Mus musculus: one gene and its partner. The protein of the gene in region 1 interacts with the protein of each later gene in a pairwise test. Links are inferred from orthologs where the notes say so. Each region holds a gene or a part of one and is shown in the gene's direction. Other genes may lie near its edges.

The links.
Region 2: the proteins of Cdh1 (region 1) and Cbll1 interact in a two-hybrid assay, tested with the Homo sapiens proteins (2 studies listed by BioGRID, with this or other methods). The link is inferred for Mus musculus from reciprocal best matches to the Homo sapiens genes CDH1 and CBLL1.

What each region holds. Positions count from the first base shown.
Region 1 is NC_000074.6:106,664,592-106,669,991, forward strand, and holds part of Cdh1 (cadherin-1 preproprotein), read left to right. Parts: intron 1-802; coding exon 803-933; intron 934-1,595; coding exon 1,596-1,739; intron 1,740-3,814; coding exon 3,815-4,024; 3' UTR 4,025-5,400.
Region 2 is NC_000078.6:31,486,392-31,490,935, reverse strand, and holds part of Cbll1 (E3 ubiquitin-protein ligase Hakai), read left to right. Parts: intron 1-394; coding exon 395-468; intron 469-2,621; coding exon 2,622-3,657; 3' UTR 3,658-4,544. UniProt on the Homo sapiens protein: E3 ubiquitin-protein ligase that mediates ubiquitination of several tyrosine-phosphorylated Src substrates, including CDH1, CTTN and DOK1. Targets CDH1 for endocytosis and degradation.

The sequences.
Region 1 (5,400 bases):
CAGGATCCCTGATGAGGCTCCTCAGATGCTTCATTTTAAACCAGTCCCCAAGGAATGCTGTGCTGGCAGAGCCAGGTTTACGTATAGCTCGCTGTACTCGTTAGCACAGGCAAGGCTGGCAGCTACCATCACCTCCGCATTCCATCTTGGAGGGCAGATGAGAGGGGAAGTAGAGGCTGCCTACCTGCAGGTTGTAGATGTCAGCAGCACTCACATCTCATTGGCCCAAGTGTAGCCATGACAAATGACAAGGCATCCTGGAAGCTCCTGCTCTTAGCTGGGTGATGATGAGCCCATTTTCATTGCATGCTTGGGAGACAGTGGTATTGGATGGAGGGCTGAGTGAGCAGCGGATGGTGCCCATGGCTGAAAAGATGAAGGAGAGTGGAGATGCTTGGAGGGAATCTGTCATTTTTGTCCGTGGTCTTTGTTCTGATTTTACCTGTCCTGGGCTTGGTAAAATGCCATGAGGATTTCAATGATCAAAGATACGGGGTTTTGCTTATTGAGGATATACCTTGACTTTTTTTGTCGGGGGCAGTAGATAAAGCTGGGGAAATTCTCTTATTAGACATTGGAAGCAGAAGTGGTATCAGGAGCCAGATGTCAAACTTGTTTATCATTTTTGTTATATTGTTTTTTGAGAAATGATCTCATTTGGCTGGACATGAGATAGTCCTCGTTCAGGTGGCTACCCACCTGCCTGGTGGGGTGAGGCTGTGGCATTCCAGGACAGTGGCTTCCCCTGGTCTTTCCTGCGTGTGGCTCATCACTCTTCCCTGCCTTCCTTCCTTGTCTCCAGTTCTGATCCTGCTGCTCCTACTGTTTCTACGGAGGAGAACGGTGGTCAAAGAGCCCCTGCTGCCACCAGATGATGATACCCGGGACAATGTGTATTACTATGATGAAGAAGGAGGTGGAGAAGAAGACCAGGTGGGTTTTAAAGATGGAGAGCTTTAAGTCTGATTAAGGGGTGTTGGGTAGGCTATGTCAGTCATCACCCTGCTGTACTGCTATGGAGGACAGAACTCTGTGGTCACAAGAATTCAAGTTTCTTCCCCCAGACACTCTTGTGTTCTCTACACTGCTGGTTGATTACATTGAGACTCACAACATCTGTAAATCAGTGAGGGCCTTTCCCAACCAGGCAGCGTTGTGATGAAAGACTCTAAGCTGCAGCCTACGCTCGGGTCTGCTGCACGGGAGCCTCATGTGAGTTGCAGTAGGCATGCATTGCTGTCTTATTGCCTGAAGCCCCTCACATGCCAGAGCCCGTTTTTAACAGACAAGACACTACTTGTATCAGCTGTGACGGGGAGGACTAAGGATTTGCCAGGTGATTACCTGATAATCATGTCCCGAGAAACGAGTAAGACTCAATAGCTTGAGTTCATGCAGTCCCCAAGGGCTCCTTTTTCTTTCAGTTTGCATCAGGAGACTTGTAGTTTGGAAAATGCCATTTCATATGCATTTGGGCACTTGGGGGTCGTTTGCTTTGTCCATCAGCATAGTCTGTGATGCCATGAAGCAAGCCCCGCCCTGTGCGAGCAGCTGCTTCTTTCTCACAGGCTCTCATGCTCTGCTCTTCTCTCTAGGACTTTGATTTGAGCCAGCTGCACAGGGGCCTGGATGCCCGACCGGAAGTGACTCGAAATGATGTGGCTCCCACCCTCATGAGCGTGCCCCAGTATCGTCCCCGTCCTGCCAATCCTGATGAAATTGGAAACTTCATCGATGAAGTAAGTAGACAAGGCTGTGAGGCAAATCACAGTACATCTCTTAACTCCGAACCAAGAAGAAAAGCGTTCTAAATGAGGAGAACCTTCCAGTGGTTGCTGTACTGTGCCTATGTCCCCGAGACAAAAGCAAAATCTACTTGCAGAGATTTAGGAGACCTAGGAGTTACAGAGCAAATCTGCTTTGCATGAGTTTCCTGCATTCATTACACCTGTTTGGGGGAGTGTCACAGGGAGCCAAAGGCCGCTTGGCAGGTAGATAAAACAGCATCTCAGCTACATGAGGACCGTAGTTGGTGCCTCAGATACACTGTAGTTGGCATCCGAGGCACCAACGTAAATGCCGAGCAGGCATGGTGGCCTGTTTATTCTAGTGTTCAGATTAGAGCATCCTGAATCAGCAAGCTCTAGGTTCTGTTGTCTGAGACCTTGTCTCAGTAAATGAGGTAAAGAAAAGTTGAGGAAGACCCCTGATATTGTCAACCTTGGGTTTTCATATGCACATGTGCACACAAAAACACGCTATACATAGCACACACAGTGTTTTCCAGATTACCTAAGGCCCCTAAAAATAGCATCCCTCATGTAACATACTCACGTAACGTACTTATATGTGTTAGAAATAGTTTCAGCTCTGATCAAAACACTTAAACAGATAATAGGAGATGCTGGGTTCAGCATTCTATTCTGTTGAAAACATATGCACATATATAACATATTAACTCTTCTACCATCCTGCTCCATTATTTTGCTGTCTTAGGTGTGTTTCTTTCTCCTCTTTTCTCTTCTCTTCTCTTCTCTTCTCTTCTCTTCTCTTCTCTTCTCTTCTCCTCTTTTCTCTTCTCTTCTCCCCTCCCCTCCCCTCCCCTCCCCTCCCCTCCCCTCCCCTCCCCTCCCCTCCCCTCCCCTCCCCTCCCCTCCCCTCCCCTCCTCTCCTCTCCTCTCTTCTCTTCTCTTCTCTTCTCTTCTCTTCTTTTCTTTTCTTTTCTTTTCTTTTCTTTTCTTTTCTTTTCTTTTCTTTTCTTTTCTTTTCTTTTCTTTTCCAAGACAGGGTTTCTCCATGTAGCCACAGCTGTCCTGGAACTCTCTTCATAGACCAGGCTGGCTTCAATCTCAGAGCCCCACCTACCGCTGCATTCCCAAGTGCTGGGATTAAAGGTGTGGGCTGCCACTGCCCGGTATTGGTTACTTTTTTTTTTTTCTTTTTTGCTGTGCCAAGATACCATGCCTAAGGCAGTTTACAGAAGGAAGAGTCTAATTTGGGGTTCTAGAAGGTTAGAGTCCATGACAATCATGGCAGGGAGCCTGGCAGCGGGTAGACATGCACAGCTGGAGCAGGAGCTGGGGGCTCAGGCCAGCCTGGTCTGCAAAGTGAGTTCCAGACAGCCAGGGCTATACAGAGAAACCCTGTCTCAAAAGACAAAAACAAAAACCAAAAAAAACCCAAAAACCAACCAACCAAACAGAAAAATGTCAAGCCTTGGCCATGCCTTTAGTCCTTGCACTTGGGCGATAGTAGGTAGCAGGTGTATCTCTGAGTTTGAAGCCAACCTGATCTACAGGAGGGAGTTCCAGGATGTCCAGGAAAAACCTGGATTCAAAGAAAAGCAGAAAAAGACTGAAGCCTGTTCTCAGTAGCACACCTTCTCCAACAAGGCCACACCTCCTAATCCTTCCAAATTGTTCCAGCTGGGGACCAAGAGTTCAAACACTGGCTGGCTTTGTATGTACTCGCTATGTAGATCAGGCTGGTCTTGAAGTATGTAGCAGAGGAGGACTTTAAATTCCTGATTCCCCCAACTTCAGAATTAACATTTAACAATAGCAGTTTGTCATCTGTCCTTCGAGGATTTTCTGGGCTGAACTGTAACCTACGTGTTTTAGTATGACGACTCTCGTTGCTCTTACCCTCTGTCCAGCCTGGCCTTGGGACTTTGCCTTCTGTGCTGGTGTGTGTGTGTGTGTGTGTGTGTGTGTGTGTACCTTGAAGGGGTTAACTACTCCTTGGTTAGTTTTTCATGTTTGGGGTGTTGCTTGCCTCTGATGCATACTGATAAGTACGGTGCTCTTCCTTTTAGAACCTGAAGGCAGCCGACAGCGACCCCACGGCACCCCCTTACGACTCTCTGTTGGTGTTCGATTACGAGGGCAGTGGTTCTGAAGCCGCTAGCCTGAGCTCACTGAACTCCTCTGAGTCGGATCAGGACCAGGACTACGATTATCTGAACGAGTGGGGCAACCGATTCAAGAAGCTGGCGGACATGTACGGCGGTGGTGAGGACGACTAGGGGACTAGCAAGTCTCCCCCGTGTGGCACCATGGGAGATGCAGAATAATTATATCAGTGGTCTTTCAGCTCCTTCCCTGAGTGTGTAGAAGAGAGACTGATCTGAGAAGTGTGCAGATTGCATAGTGGTCTCACTCTCCCTACTGGACTGTCTGTGTTAGGATGGTTTTCACTGATTGTTGAAATCTTTTTTTATTTTTTATTTTTACAGTGCTGAGATATAAACTGTGCCTTTTTTTGTTTGTTTGTTTCTGTTTTTGTTCTTTTGAGCTATGATCTGCCCCAGACACAACAGCCCCAAGCCCCTCACACCTCACTAATTTTTTACATTGTGTACTTGCCCTCAATTACCATGTTTGCTGTATTCTAATAGTCACTCATGTTCCTGAATTCTGTTGCCCTGCCCAGGTGATATTCTAGGATGCAGAAATGCCTGGGCCCTTTTATGGTGAGAGACAGGTATCTTGGTGTGGGTGCAACTGCGCTGGATAGTGTGTGTGTTCCCAAGATCTTTCGTGGTATTCCCTCTCCACCTCCAGAGAACTCATTTACAGTGGCATTCCTTGTTCGGCTATGTGTCTGGGGCAGAACAAAAAAAAGGGACCACTATGCATGCTGCACACGTCTCAGATTCTTAGGTACACACCTGATTCTTAGGTGCATGCCATAGTGGGATATGTTGCTTTGATCAGAACCTGCAGGGAGGTTTTCGGGCACCACTTAAGTTTCTTGGCGTTTCTTTCAAACCAAAACTAAAGAATGGTTGTTCTCTGAGAGAGACTGGAGTGCCACCACCAAAGACAGAGGAGAGAAAAGGAGAGAAACCAAACTTGGGGACAGCAACATCAGCGAACCCGGCTAGTTGGCACACCGATGGTGAGGGTACACAGGCGGTGAGACCTATCCCACAAGATTTCTGGAAGACTAGGCTTATCTCAACCAATGTTTTCTGGCTGGAATCTTTGTCCATGTATTCCTGAAGCCCAGGAAATGCACCCCTCCAATGCCTGCTCTTGATGGTAGCTACAGAAAATGCTGGCCGATTTAAACCCAAGTTGCCCAGTTCTGAGTAGAAAACTGAGACTATGCTGTGTGTGGCGGCGCGCACCTTTAAGCCCAGCACTCAGGAGGCAGAGGCAGTCAGATCTCCCTGAGTTCGAGGCCAACCTGGTATATATAGTATAGTAAGCGAATTCTAGGACAGCCAGGGCTACACAGAGAAACCCTGTCTCTGCAAACCAAAAGAGAAAACTGAGAATATTACAAATTGTGCATTTTCTCAGGAAGCAGGAAGAGAACATTCTAACGGGAAAAAGGAGACAAGACCTTTGAGAGTTTTCATTCAAAATGCAAATCTCAGCTTTTTGATAACCACTG
Region 2 (4,544 bases), on another chromosome or scaffold:
AGCAGAGAAACCCTGCCTTGAAAAACCAGATAGATAGATAGATAGATAATCCCAGCACTCAGAAGGCAGAGATAAGTGAATTGTTCCAAGACAGCCAAGGCTAAGCAGAGAAACCCTGCCTTGAAAAACCAGATAGATAGATAGATAGATAGATAGATAGATAGATAGACAGACAGACAGACAGACAGACAGACAGACAGACAGACAGACTCCCTCCCTCCCTCCCTCCCTCCCTCCCTCCCTCCCTCCCTCCTAGCTGCTTCTGGTATATAGTCTTAATAAGTTTTCATTTAACTCCTATGTGCCTCCTGTTGGTAGATCACTGTACTGACAATTAGTATTGAAAATTTCTAATTTGTTCTAGGATGCTTAACTATGATATTTTTGCCTACAGATTCCATGCAAGCATGTCTTTTGCTATGACTGTGCTATTTTACATGAAAAAAAAGGAGATAAGATGTGCCCAGGGTAAGATATGATCATCTTTAGATGTTCTAGTAGTAGTGGCTTATAAGCAAGATGGGTTAAAGGTTTTGGAGTAATGGGACTAGACAAGGATGCAAACGTGCTGGCTGAGCCACTCTGTGTGAACCTGGAGTTAGTTTTCCCCTTCTCTGGAAGATGGAGCTAGCCATTGTCAGTTCATTCAGAGTAGCTGAAATGATGACATCTCTGGGAACAGTGTTGGACAGCAGAGCGGTTTCTTGTTTTCTCTTTTGTGTGTGTCTGGCATACCTGGAAGCAAGTATAGCGTGGTTTGCTGATTGAGAACAACCTCTTTCCAAAGTGAGAATTAACATCTTTTATTATTAATTGTATGTGAATAATGTGGCGGGTGGTATGAGCATGTGCCAGGGTCAGAAGGCAACTTGGTGGAGTAGTTCTCTCCTTCCAACTTCACCTATGCTCAGGGGATGGAACTTAGAAGAGCAGGCTTGCATAGAAAGCACTTTACCTGCTGAGCTGTCTCACTGGCCCCAGGATTAGAATGGTTGAGGTCAGGTCCCCATTTGACTATTGATCAGCTGTGTGGTACAAGTGGCTTTATAGCTATCGGCTCCCTGTATTCTTTTTAAGATGAAGTAAGGATTAATGAACAGTAGAATTGGCATATAATAAACACTACTATTCCTGTTTTCCAATAACCCAAACAGGTGTGTTTTGGGTGATAACGACATCATGATAGACTCGAAGTTATACATCATGGTATCTGTCTTGGGATAGCTCTATAATAAAGTGAAAATTTATATTAATTTGGAACCCCTGATAAGAAAGCCTTGAGAAAAATGGAGTGAAACTTTGGATTAGCTCAAGGGTTTCCAGATCCTCTAAACCTAAAATTGAAAGTACCCCAAGGAACACCATTGATTGTTAACAAAACTATAAACAACTGTAAGAAAAGATTTCCCCTCTGTGGTGCAGGATATGGGCTTTGCTAAGAAAAAAAGGGGGTGATTTGTTAATGACCCAATGACAACTGATTTTCTTGGTATATTTCATTAGGTTTTTAAAGTTATAGATTATGAAATATATACTGTGTTTAAAAGATACTACTATATGTTCTATAGAGTTATAATTCAGAAGAATATAAAATTTGGAAGTATATATTGTAGCCTTTGTTGAAGTATTTCTCTAATGCCTTTCCCAGCCCAGTGTTGTGCATTAGCTTAATATAACATGTGATTGTTCCATTAAGATAAAGAATTAAAATGTAATGCAACATTAAATGTAGTGAACATTAAAAGATTCTCTCTTTTACATAGATTTTTTTTTTAATTTATTTACCTATATTTTATGTGCATAGGTGTTCTGCCTGCATGCCTGTCTGTGTGAGAGTGTCAGATCTTGGAGTTAACAGACAGTTGTGAGCTGCCATGTGGGTGCTGGGATTTGAACCCAGGTCCTCTGGAAGAGCATTCAGTGCCCTTAACTGCCAAGCCATATCTCCAGCCCATAGAGGTTTCACTATTACTATTTAAAAGTGCAATTTAGTTTTCAGGTAACTAAATGTGTTCTAGTATGCACTTCACCAGTGTAGTCTTTAGCTATCTAGAGAGAAACCTGTCTTAATTGTCAAACCAAGGGCAGGAAATAAAGTTACCAACCAGAATTAATTTAAATAGTATATGCTACTGCTTTTGGGCATCATGCAAAAGAAAAGACCTTACCCTATTTAGCATGGATATGTTTCTGACTGTGTAGTAATTAGATGGCTGAAAAGCAAGAAATGTGCAAAGTGGCCACAAATTAGAAGCACCCTAGCTCCTACAAGGAAAAGAGACAACTCCCTGGTTGTAAATGATAGATCCTTTGCTTTGTCATTCTTCTATGTAAATCATACTATAGTTAGAGAATATTAATGAGCTGTAAGTATTGGGAAATAGAAGGTCTCTTAAGAAATTCTATTTTGGTGTTTAGAGTTCTGAGGTAAAAATAGTCTCTGGTTGGTAGAGATGTTGATGATTAGTTTCTGATACAAATAGAAAATGTTAGAGGTCCACTAACAGTAATTCAATACTCACTGTTAACTTTGCAAGTATATTATATTTTAAATTAAAGCTTAAATTAAATGTGCTGTTTGTGTTTTGGCTTTAGTAAATCATTTTTTTCTTCCTGTTTAGATGTAGTGATCCTGTGCAGCGGATTGAGCAGTGCACACGAGGTTCTCTCTTTATGTGTAGCATTGTTCAAGGATGCAAGAGAACATATCTGTCTCAGAGAGACTTACAAGCTCATATCAACCATCGCCATATGAGAGCTGGAAAGCCCGTTACCCGTGCTTCACTTGAGAATGTTCATCCTCCTATTGCCCCCCCACCAACTGACATCCCCGATCGGTTCATAATGCCACCAGACAAGCATCATATGAGCCATATTCCTCCAAAGCAGCACATCATGATGCCACCGCCTCCTCTGCAGCATGTGCCACATGAGCACTATAATCAGCCACATGAGGATATTCGTGCTCCTCCGGCAGAATTGTCCATGGCTCCACCTCCACCTCGTTCGGTCAGTCAGGAAACCTTTCGTATTTCAACAAGAAAACACAGCAATTTAATAACGGTCCCTATTCAGGATGACTCCAGTTCAGGTGCTAGAGAACCACCACCTCCTGCCCCAGCACCTGCTCATCACCATCCTGAATATCAGGGTCAGCCCGTGGTATCTCACCCTCATCATATTATGCCTCCACAGCAACATTACGCACCACCCCCACCTCCTCCACCACCAATAAGCCATCCAATGCCACACCCTCCCCAGGCTGCAGGTACTCCTCACTTGGTATATAGCCAAGCTCCACCTCCACCAATGACCTCTGCTCCACCCCCAATAACCCCTCCCCCTGGACATATTATTGCCCAGATGCCACCTTATATGAATCATCCTCCTCCAGGACCCCCTCCACCTCAGCATGGTGGTCCACCTGTAACTGCACCCCCTCCTCACCATTACAATCCTAACTCTTTACCCCAGTTTACTGAAGACCAAGGAACTCTGAGCCCTCCATTTACACAACCAGGAGGAATGAGTCCTGGTATATGGCCTGCACCAAGAGGGCCACCTCCTCCTCCACGAATGCAGGGCCCGCCTTCTCAAACCCCACTACCTGGACCGCATCATCCAGATCAAACAAGATACAGACCGTATTACCAGTGATCATAGTGTTTTGAACTGAAGATATGACAAGGAAAAAAAAGATTAGTCAATCTTAATTGACCTTTGACTGTGGAAGGAAAACTACCTCTTTTGAGGTAGCTATTAACACAAGTCTTGTCTCTCAAAATGGTTTTAATCTGACTAGGATTGCTTTCAAGTACTATTCTGTAGTGCAGATAAGTGGCTTGGTTGAGCACAATTCTATCTTAACTGTTACTTTGATGTGATAAATTTTCCCAAAACGACCATTTGTAAAAAATTGAAAAAAAATTCACTGTTCCACTTTGAGAAATACTGACTTTATTAAACCCAATGTTTAGTTTTCTTGTGATGCATTTTGTTAACCTGTGTAAAAGAATTAAATTTCAAAATGGTTGTAAAAATGCTATTTTTATGTGAATTTAAGTGCAGCCATATCATTTTTTAACCCATATTTTACCACTAATTTTCCAAGGTTAAAATCCTAAAAGTAAAAATCTACTAAATCGTTACCAGGCAGACTGTTAAATGTAGGGAATTATTCACACTTTAGGCACTGAAAGTTCAAAGTGTAGTTCTGTAATACGGTTCACTCGGATGCCTTTTCACAGCAGCTGCAGATCATCAGCGTTTCTGTAACTGTGCTTGGCTGGCATGTCTCCAGGTAGTGTGTAATTGGGAAACCGACCTGCTCTACAGGCTCTAAGCTGCCAGTGAGTGCTGTTCTCATTGACGCTTTTTCTGAGTGGCTACAATCACATAACTTGTCACACTTAAAGGTCTTAAGTTACATTATTTTATAGGACTGTTTAAAGTTGTTATTGGATGAAATGTGCTCTCTGTTCACTGTCTTAACCTACATGTTTGGGGCTGACTAGGCTTTATTTAAATCTCCTTTTTCTCAGTTT